Canis lupus familiaris: one gene and its partner. The protein of the gene in region 2 interacts with the protein of the main gene of each other region in a biochemical or structural test. Links are inferred from orthologs where the notes say so. Each region holds a gene or a part of one and is shown on either strand. Other genes may lie near its edges. The genes, in order: SRI and ANXA7.

The links.
Region 1: the proteins of ANXA7 (region 2) and SRI interact in a biophysical measurement, tested with the Homo sapiens proteins (2 studies listed by BioGRID and IntAct, with this or other methods). The link is inferred for Canis lupus familiaris from reciprocal best matches to the Homo sapiens genes ANXA7 and SRI.

The regions. Positions count from the first base shown.
Region 1 is NC_049235.1:14,241,360-14,245,173, reverse strand, and holds part of SRI (sorcin), read left to right. Parts: intron 1-623; coding exon 624-667; intron 668-1,433; coding exon 1,434-1,581; intron 1,582-1,980; coding exon 1,981-2,094; intron 2,095-3,347; coding exon 3,348-3,406; intron 3,407-3,814. UniProt on the Homo sapiens protein: Calcium-binding protein that modulates excitation-contraction coupling in the heart. Contributes to calcium homeostasis in the heart sarcoplasmic reticulum. Modulates the activity of RYR2 calcium channels.
Region 2 is NC_049225.1:24,691,964-24,696,482, forward strand, and holds the start of ANXA7 (annexin A7), read right to left. Parts: upstream 3,032-4,519; 5' UTR 2,926-3,031; intron 692-2,925; exon of another isoform or gene 587-691; intron 1-586. UniProt on the Homo sapiens protein: Calcium/phospholipid-binding protein which promotes membrane fusion and is involved in exocytosis.

The DNA of each region.
Region 1 (3,814 bases), on a different chromosome or scaffold from region 2:
AATGTGTTGCCATTGCTACTTAGTTCATCTGTAATTCTGTCCATTTTCTTTTGAAGTAAATTCCATATATCTTACAACATTCATTTCACCTAGAAATAACTTAAGTGTTTACTTTTCTAAAAGATAAGGACATTCTCCTCTCAATTTCAAAACCATTATCATACCTAAAAATATTAAGAGTATAGTGCAATACTTTTTAAAAAGATTTCTATTAAAGTTGTTAAAATCAAGTTTGTGTTCATTTTTTTGTTTTTAAGATTTTATTTGAGAGAAAGAGCATGAGAGTGGGTGAGGGGCAGAGGGAGAAGCAGACTCCCCACTGAGCAGGGAGACCGACATGGAGCTCAACCCCAGAACTCCAGGACTATGACCTGAGCTGAAGTCAAACGCCCAACTGACTGAGCCACCCAGGCACCTCTCAAATTTAGGTTCTACAAGGAATCCCCACTACCTGGAAAAAAATCTCCTTCAAAGCTCCATGTACTTTAGTTCTACATAAATTAAGTAGTATATAAAAGTAAGAGTACATAAATAGTCACTTTCCTAATTAATTTCAATGTATGCAATGTAATGTGAATTTTTGAAACTGTATTAATATGTATGTACTTTCTTTGATTTAACAGCTTTTAACCTGGAGACTTGTCGGCTTATGGTTTCAATGCTGGATGTATCCTTTGATTGCTGCTGGAAGGTTTTTTCCTGACCACCCCTCCCCCAAAAATTTTCTCCTAAAAGAATTCATCTAAGAATTAATACCCAGTAAATATAAGGTAACAAAAGACCACAAAGTTCTTGAAATCATTAACTTTTAACATGTAATTTGGTGCAAAAAGGGAAGGGAGTTTAGTAGATATAGTGTTGGTTATTCAGGAATTCAAGGAAGCATCAGAAGAGAACAAGTATAGAAATCAGGGTGAAATCAGGGTTTATCGTTGCTTTATCGTTGTTTGCCCCACGTGATTCACACCTGACCTTCACACTGTGGAATTTCTCACATCACAGTTATTAGACTCAGCTTAGCCTGTACTGATCCTGCAGTGCCTTCCATCCCACCTCATTTTCCAAAAGTGAAAGCCCCAGGTCTGGAAGGGCCTGCCAGGGGAGTGCCTGGACCCCAGCAGCAGTGCCGAGGGCACTCAGAAAGTGCAGTCGGGTTCCGGTAACGAGATCCCTTTCCACGTGTGGCCCACAGTGCCCACTTTACTCCCTTGTAATCACATCTCACAGGTGATCTGTACTCTGAGGTTTTTCACCATAGGCTCTTTTCATTATATGGTTAGAGTATCCTTTCATTGTATCACATCAAGAGGGACTTGTAACATTTTTAACCTTTTTAGCAGAAAGAATGTTAAACTCCCTTACCCTTGAGCTTTGGCTTAATCATTAGAAAATGTTGCCAAATAAAGGTGCTCTAATCCTTAATTACGGTTCAGAGAGATATGTCAGGCACAATGGGTTTCAATGAATTTAAAGAACTCTGGGCTGTGCTGAATGGCTGGAGACAACACTTCATCAGTTTTGACAGTGATCAGAGTGGAACAGTGGATCCTCAAGAACTGCAGAAGGCCTTGACCACAATGGGTGTGTATGGCTGACTCCAGCCACCGCAGACATCATTCTCCTTTCATTTCCAAAACCAAGTGTTACGGACTCCTAACTCTGGGAAATGAACTAGGGGTGGTAGAAAGGGAGGTGGGCGGGGCGTGGGGGTGACTGGGTGATGGGCACTGAGGGGGGGCACTTGGATGAGCACTGGGTATTATTCTATATGTTGGCAAATTGAACACCAATAAAAAATAAATTTATAAAAAAAAGGCAGTTTCTGTTTTCTAGAAGTAGTATATGTTCATAATGAAGTACATAATACATATGTAATTCCTAGTGTATATTCATAGTTAAAAATGAGTACTCCCAGACTGAAAAAATTGTGATGACTTTTAATGATCTTTTTCTTACACTTTACCTTTTTTCATTCCTCAGGTTTTCGTTTGAGTCCCCAGGCTGTGAATTCAATTGCAAAACGATACAGCACCAATGGCAAGATCACCTTTGATGACTACATCGCCTGCTGTGTCAAACTGCGAGCCCTGACAGGTGTGTTCTTTGAGGTGGTGTTCACCAGGGTGTTTGTAAAGTGTTTCTGAACTTCTGTTGCCCACAATCTTTTCTCCCCCCTAACCTCAGTGGCTTTTTAAACACTGCTAGTAAACGTGTCTAGCAGAATAACTTTTTTTTTTTTTTTTTTTTTCAGAAATCCTTTCAGATTAGTGGTAAACTGCTTTTAAAATAATCTTAACTAGGGACTCCTGGGTGGCTCAGTGATTGAGCATCTGCCTTTAGCTCAGGGCGTGATTCCCGAGACCCGGGATCAAGTCCCATATCAGGCTCCTTGCGTGGAGCCTGCTTCTCCCTCTGCCTATGTCTCTGCCTCTTTCTGTCCCTCATGAATAAATAAATAAAATCCTTAAAAAAAAATCTTAACTGAATTTCACAAAAATGTTCCAAAACATGATCAGCTAATTTGTGCATTTTTTTATCAGCATATGAGCGGTACTCTGTGATTCCTCCCTAGAATATAAAATATTTGAAGAGAGTGAAATTACTCATTAGCTCTCTCTCCTAATTCCTTCTGTTGGAAAGTAGTTTAAAGCTGTGGTCATCTGTTTCAAATGTATGGACTGCTTAGATGAGGTTGTATCAGTAATCTCTACTTTCTATTTCCTTTGTTCTTTTTCTTTTTTCTGTATATTTTTCTATTTTTCTTGTTCCATTCCTCTCTTTAGTTTCTCTCTTTTTTTTTCGAGGCTTGAACTTAGGACCCTGAGATCAATACCTGAGCTGAGATCAAAAATCAGATACTTAATTGACTGAGCCACCCAGGCACCCCAGTCTTTACTCTCTTTAATACCTGGGTTTGTAATTTCTTTTGCATCCTAACAAAAGTATGAGGCCAGGTTTTTTGTTTTTGTTTTTTTTTTAATTAAAGTAAATCCTTTTCAATAGCACAGAGCTCAGAGGGGTGGAATATTTTTTATAGCCCATTTGCCATATTAGGAACTCCATCCATCCATTTTCCTAAACACTATCTGTGTTATTAAGAAGTTTGTAGTTTGGAGGCATCTGTGTGATGGAACAGTATCATCTGTTATTTCTGCACTGTATTACTCTGTTGTATATTAAATCTATCCACGTTATTATAGTTGGCTTCTTTACTGTGGGCTTTTGTTTATGTTGGCTGATTTTACAACTCAAATACTACTGCAGTTTGAACCCAATGCCAAAATAATTTACTGTTGTGATGTCAGATGTTTAAAAATAACCATAGATTTTACTGTGGTGTTTTATAGACAGCTTTCGAAGACGGGATACTGCTCAGCAAGGTGTTGTGAATTTCCCATATGATGATGTAAGTCTCACTAAATTCGGAACTGTAAAGATGAATAAGATGTACGCCAGTTGGGCATCCGTTTTGAAGTTAGCCATGAAGAGCATCTTAAGGATGCTGAGTAATCAAGGATTAAATGATTAGGAGTTACCATTCAGAATTTATTAATTTCATTTATTACTAGTCTTACTCATATAGTTCACTTTGACTTTCATTAAAAGACTTGGTTCGGAGCCCAGCTGGTCCCATTTACTGGCTGGGTCACAGAGATAGGTTTCATCATTGCTCTGAGAATATTTGAGGAGAGAAAGTAATAATACCTCCTTCTTTGGGCTATTGGGAGATGTCAATCAGAAATGTCCTTGGAAAACACCATTCAGATGTTGTGTCTGTTTCTGCCTTCATTGAACAAGTATCTCTGTCACCGAG
Region 2 (4,519 bases):
CTGCCTCTCTCTCTCTCCCTGCGTCTCTCATGAATAAATAAATAAAATCTTAAAAAATAAAAAAAAGCTAAATAAGTAAAATCTTAAAAATTTATTGTAGTGTCTCTTATAAGCACAAGATAGAAGCTAAAAACACTAAATTGAGAATGAATGGGCATATATTGGGTCAATATTGGGTCAAAATTATAAGTTAATAGGAAAGATAGTAAGAAAATTGATCCAGTCAGTTCTAAATCATTTGGAATTCAAACGCTCAGATGTGAAAATAGGAAGAGGCTAAATCAGTTTTTCCTTTCTTCTCTAAGAATGTTTGGTATAAGGAATAAAAGGACAACAGCATCTTAGAACAATCAGATGGACCAACGGCAAAAGAGTCAGTGTCAAAAGAAAGGGGAAAAAAAATCTGATAATTTTGAGAAAAATTTTAAAGGCAACTAGTTAACAGTACCAAAGACTACATTTAAATTTCTAAATCTCAGGAATTGTTCCAGTGACAAAGTCCTATTTCTACATTCTTTAACTACTATATTAAATCTTACCCCTAAAGGCCTAGAGAAATTATGTCAACAAGTTTCAAAACACAATAAAAATGAAGTAAAGACTATCTGCATATAAGAAAACTTGTGCAGGGGCCATGCTAATCTTTTCTGTATCATTCCAATGTTAGTATATGTGCTGCTGAAGCAAGCACTGCATATAAGAAAACTTAAAGCAAATTTAAGAAGGTGAATTTGGGTACATTCTGAAGAATGTAATTATAAAAGTCCTAGAATCCAATTTCATTTCCAGGGAATGTACCTTATTTGCACAAATGTAAAATTACACATGTACAAGGCTCTTCACTACAGCACTATTTGTAATAGAAGACATTAAAAACAATCTAAAAGTCCATCAAGGGGCACCTGCGTGGCTCAGGCGGTTAAGTGGCTGCCTTCTGCTCAAATCATGATCTCAAAGTCCTGGGATTGAGCTCCAAGATGGAGCTCTGCTTCATGTTCCTTGTTCAGCGGGGAGTCTGCTTCTCTCTCGAGCCCTCCACCCTATCCCTGGCTCATGCTCACTCGCTCTAATAAAATCTTTAGAATAAATAAAAGTCCATCAATAAAGTACAGGTAGAATGGATTCCGGACAATGAAGTGTTACATAGCTATTAAAAACGAGCAGCTTTTGGGGTACCTAGCTGGCTCAGTTGGTAGAGCATGTGATTCTTGACCTCATGGTCCTTGACTTCAAGCCACATGTTGGGCGTAGATTACTTAATAAAAAATAAAATTCAGTTTTTTAAAATCCATATGAAACCATCTCTAAATCATATTAAGTGTGGAAAAAAGGCCAGGTGAACCCTGCATAGATAAACTGCAACTATAACCGTAGAAGATATATTTGCTTCTACGTATAAGAGACTATCCCTGAAAGTATTCTCAGAAAAGCAGAAACCAGTAGCTGCCTCTAGGGAGGCGAGCTGAGGCATCATGGGAAGGAAACTCAATTTTCAATGTACTTTTAGCTCTTTCGGAATTGTGCATGTATCATCTACTCAAAAGGCGGATTTAAAAAGCCTTTGCAAAAAACTAAACAAATCCCAGGATGACTCAACAAATTACTCATTTTGCCCAAGGAATAAAGACGACTATACTGGTAAACAAGACCTTTTATTTCCTTTTTAACATTCTCGATCTGCAACTACTTTTAAAAGACTAGAAATCATTCTTGGTTCTCCAAACCATCTCCACCCAGTGAGTCAGTTACTAAAAGGGGTGGGTCTCACTATAGGAGTCTCAAGATGGCAAGAAGTCCAAGGAACACAAGAGGCAGCTGTTGCAGATCTATGAAACAAATACAAAACAGGAAGGGCAAGTGAAGAGAAGATGGCCAACAGGAGATACTACAGCTTTCTGAAACCCGCCTCTTGGTCAGGAAGGACAATTTAAATCTGTCAGTCAGGGCCCTTGGATGAAGAACTAAAGGGAGGGCCGGCGGGGACTTCAGGGGAGCGTAGGCAGCCACCATCAGTGAGGACCGAAAAGCAGCTTAAATTTGGAGCGGCCAACTAGTGCCTGAAACTCCTTCCGTGTCTGAAAGGTAACTCATTAGCTCTCATTAGGGCAGGTTATCAGATCAGGTCCCTACGAGATAGAATAAACCAGGGAGTCTAAAGGCCGTCAGGACTTCTCATTTCTGTCACTTGATGGGGTACATTCCATCTCTCTCTTTCTCTGCAGAGGAAGTGTTCTCTCGGGACGCTTGCTGTTCAGGGACCAGGAATCCAATCTGGAATGTTATCTCCCAGAACAGTCTCCTTGAGGCAATGTACAATCTGAGGCTTGGGCATTCTGTCCTAGGCTTAGTGAGGCGCCTGACAAATTTCCCTAAATTTGCTGTGTCACCGGAAAGTCCAGTCACCAGCCATTTTTTTTTTTTTTTAAGACTTCATTTATTCATGAGAGACACACAGAGAGAGGCAGGGAGCCCGACGTGGGACTCGATCCCGAGTCTCCAAGATCACGCCCCGGGCCAAAGGCAGGCGCTAAACCGCTGAGCCACCCGGGGATCCCCGCCCGTCAGCTTTCGTTGTTGCTCCTTGCGGGTTTCCCTACTCAGCCTGCCTTGAGGTCACTTCAGCTGGGCCGTGGCCTCAGACCCCCACCTGTGTCACTGCTCCCTCTGACCCTCGGGCCGCGGAGGATCCGCGGGCTGGCCAGCCGCCCAGCCGCCCCGCCGCCGCGCCCCCGCCCCCGCCGGGCAGCCCGGGTCGCGAGACGCGCGCAGAGCCGCCCCCCGCCCCGCAGGCCCCTCCGCCGACCCCCCTCCCCCCGCGGGGACACGCGCCGGGCCCGGCCGCCTCCCGGACCGCGGGCCTCAGCGGGCCTGAGCGAGGCGACGCGCGGGAGGGGGGCGGGAGGGGTAGGGGGCGCCGTTCCTCACCTGGCCCGGGGGAGCAGCGTCACAGCGTCACAGCCCGACCCTGGTCGCCAGCAAGATGGAGCCGGGGGCGGGCCCGCAGAGGCGGAGCGCCGCGGCCGCCGCCCGAGCCCGGTGGGAGCGCGGGAACGCCCCTGGTGCGGGGGGCGGGGCCGCCCGCCGGGCCCGAGGCTGTCGCGTCGTCCGCGCGCCGCAGCCCCACCTGTGGGGAGACGCGGCCTGCCCGGGCACCGGCCGGCTTTGTCACGTTTCTCTAATTCCGTTGGGGGCTCTCTCAAGTCACAGCGGTTTTAAGAAATTCCGGAGCCCTTTCCGTGATGGGCGGCTGGGCGTCCAGGTGCGGCCCCTCCGCCTGATTTACTGTCCTCCCCTGAGGCCTTGTAAAGGATAAAGATCGTGACTTTTATTAGATCCCTATGAAATGAATTAATTCTTATTGGGGATGCTACTCAGATATCGAGATACGTCAATCAAAACCACTCTAAACGGGTTGTTGGGTGACACGAGGCTTCCCTCACACTAGAGCCCTAAAATTTGACGCCCACACTAGCATTAAATATCTTACGTAATTTCAAGGGCTCAGACCGGTATTTTAAACTCATTAAGAAAGTTTATTCCAGGAGCACCTGGGTGGCTCAGTGGTTAAGCGTCGGCCTTGGGCTCAGGGCGTGAACCCGGGGTCATAGAATCGTGTCCCACATCGGGCTCCCTGCAGGGAGCCTGCCTCTCCCTGTGTCTCTCATGAATAAATAAAATCTTAAAAAAGTTTATTCCAGAGCAAAAACCAGCTTCCCTTTACAGTGGTTCTCAAAGCGTGGTCCCCATACCAGCAGCAGCAATATCACCTGGAAACTTGTTAGAAATACAAATTTGGGGCTCAACCTTAGATCTGTTGAATCAAACCCTAGGGGTGGAGCTTGGCAATTTAACAAGCCTTCCAGGTGGTTCTAATGCACACTTAAGTTTGAGAACCATCAACTTATTACTCTACATGCTTCTCCACCCAAAAGCTTCCTCATCAGGAATTTGATTTTTTCTGGTTTCAGAGGGAAGCTCTTGGAGAAGTTGAAACAAGGGAATGACATAGCCCAATTTATTCTTTAGAAAAAATCATTCCCCCAAATGAATGGCCCCCAAAATCCAGACTAACATTTGATCTGGTGATCAAATAAGCAGAGATTTATATCCAATACTGGAGGGGGAAAAAATGGCTCTGACAGACCTGCTGAGAGGAGCATGTGCTAGAATCCCATTATAGCACTATCCTAAGGGATTTTCACTAAGGTTTTTAAAATGCAAATTTTTTCATTTGCTGAGTAAGGAAATATATTGCGCTTAATGATGTCAGTCTCCTTCTATTAAGTTGGAAACACTTTAAGGGCAGAAGCCATCTTAGATTTCTCAGCAGTTAGCATGAAGCTAGGCATTTAGACTTAGGTACTCTCACCACCAGCCTACTAAGTTGGAAACTTTTGTGTCCCTTGTTACTGTGTGGCTTCTGTCTCCTGATTTGATTCTGATACATTGCACTTCACCCATCACAATCAGTAACCAAACTCTATAGATTTTACTTTCATTCTCTATCTATAAACTGTCA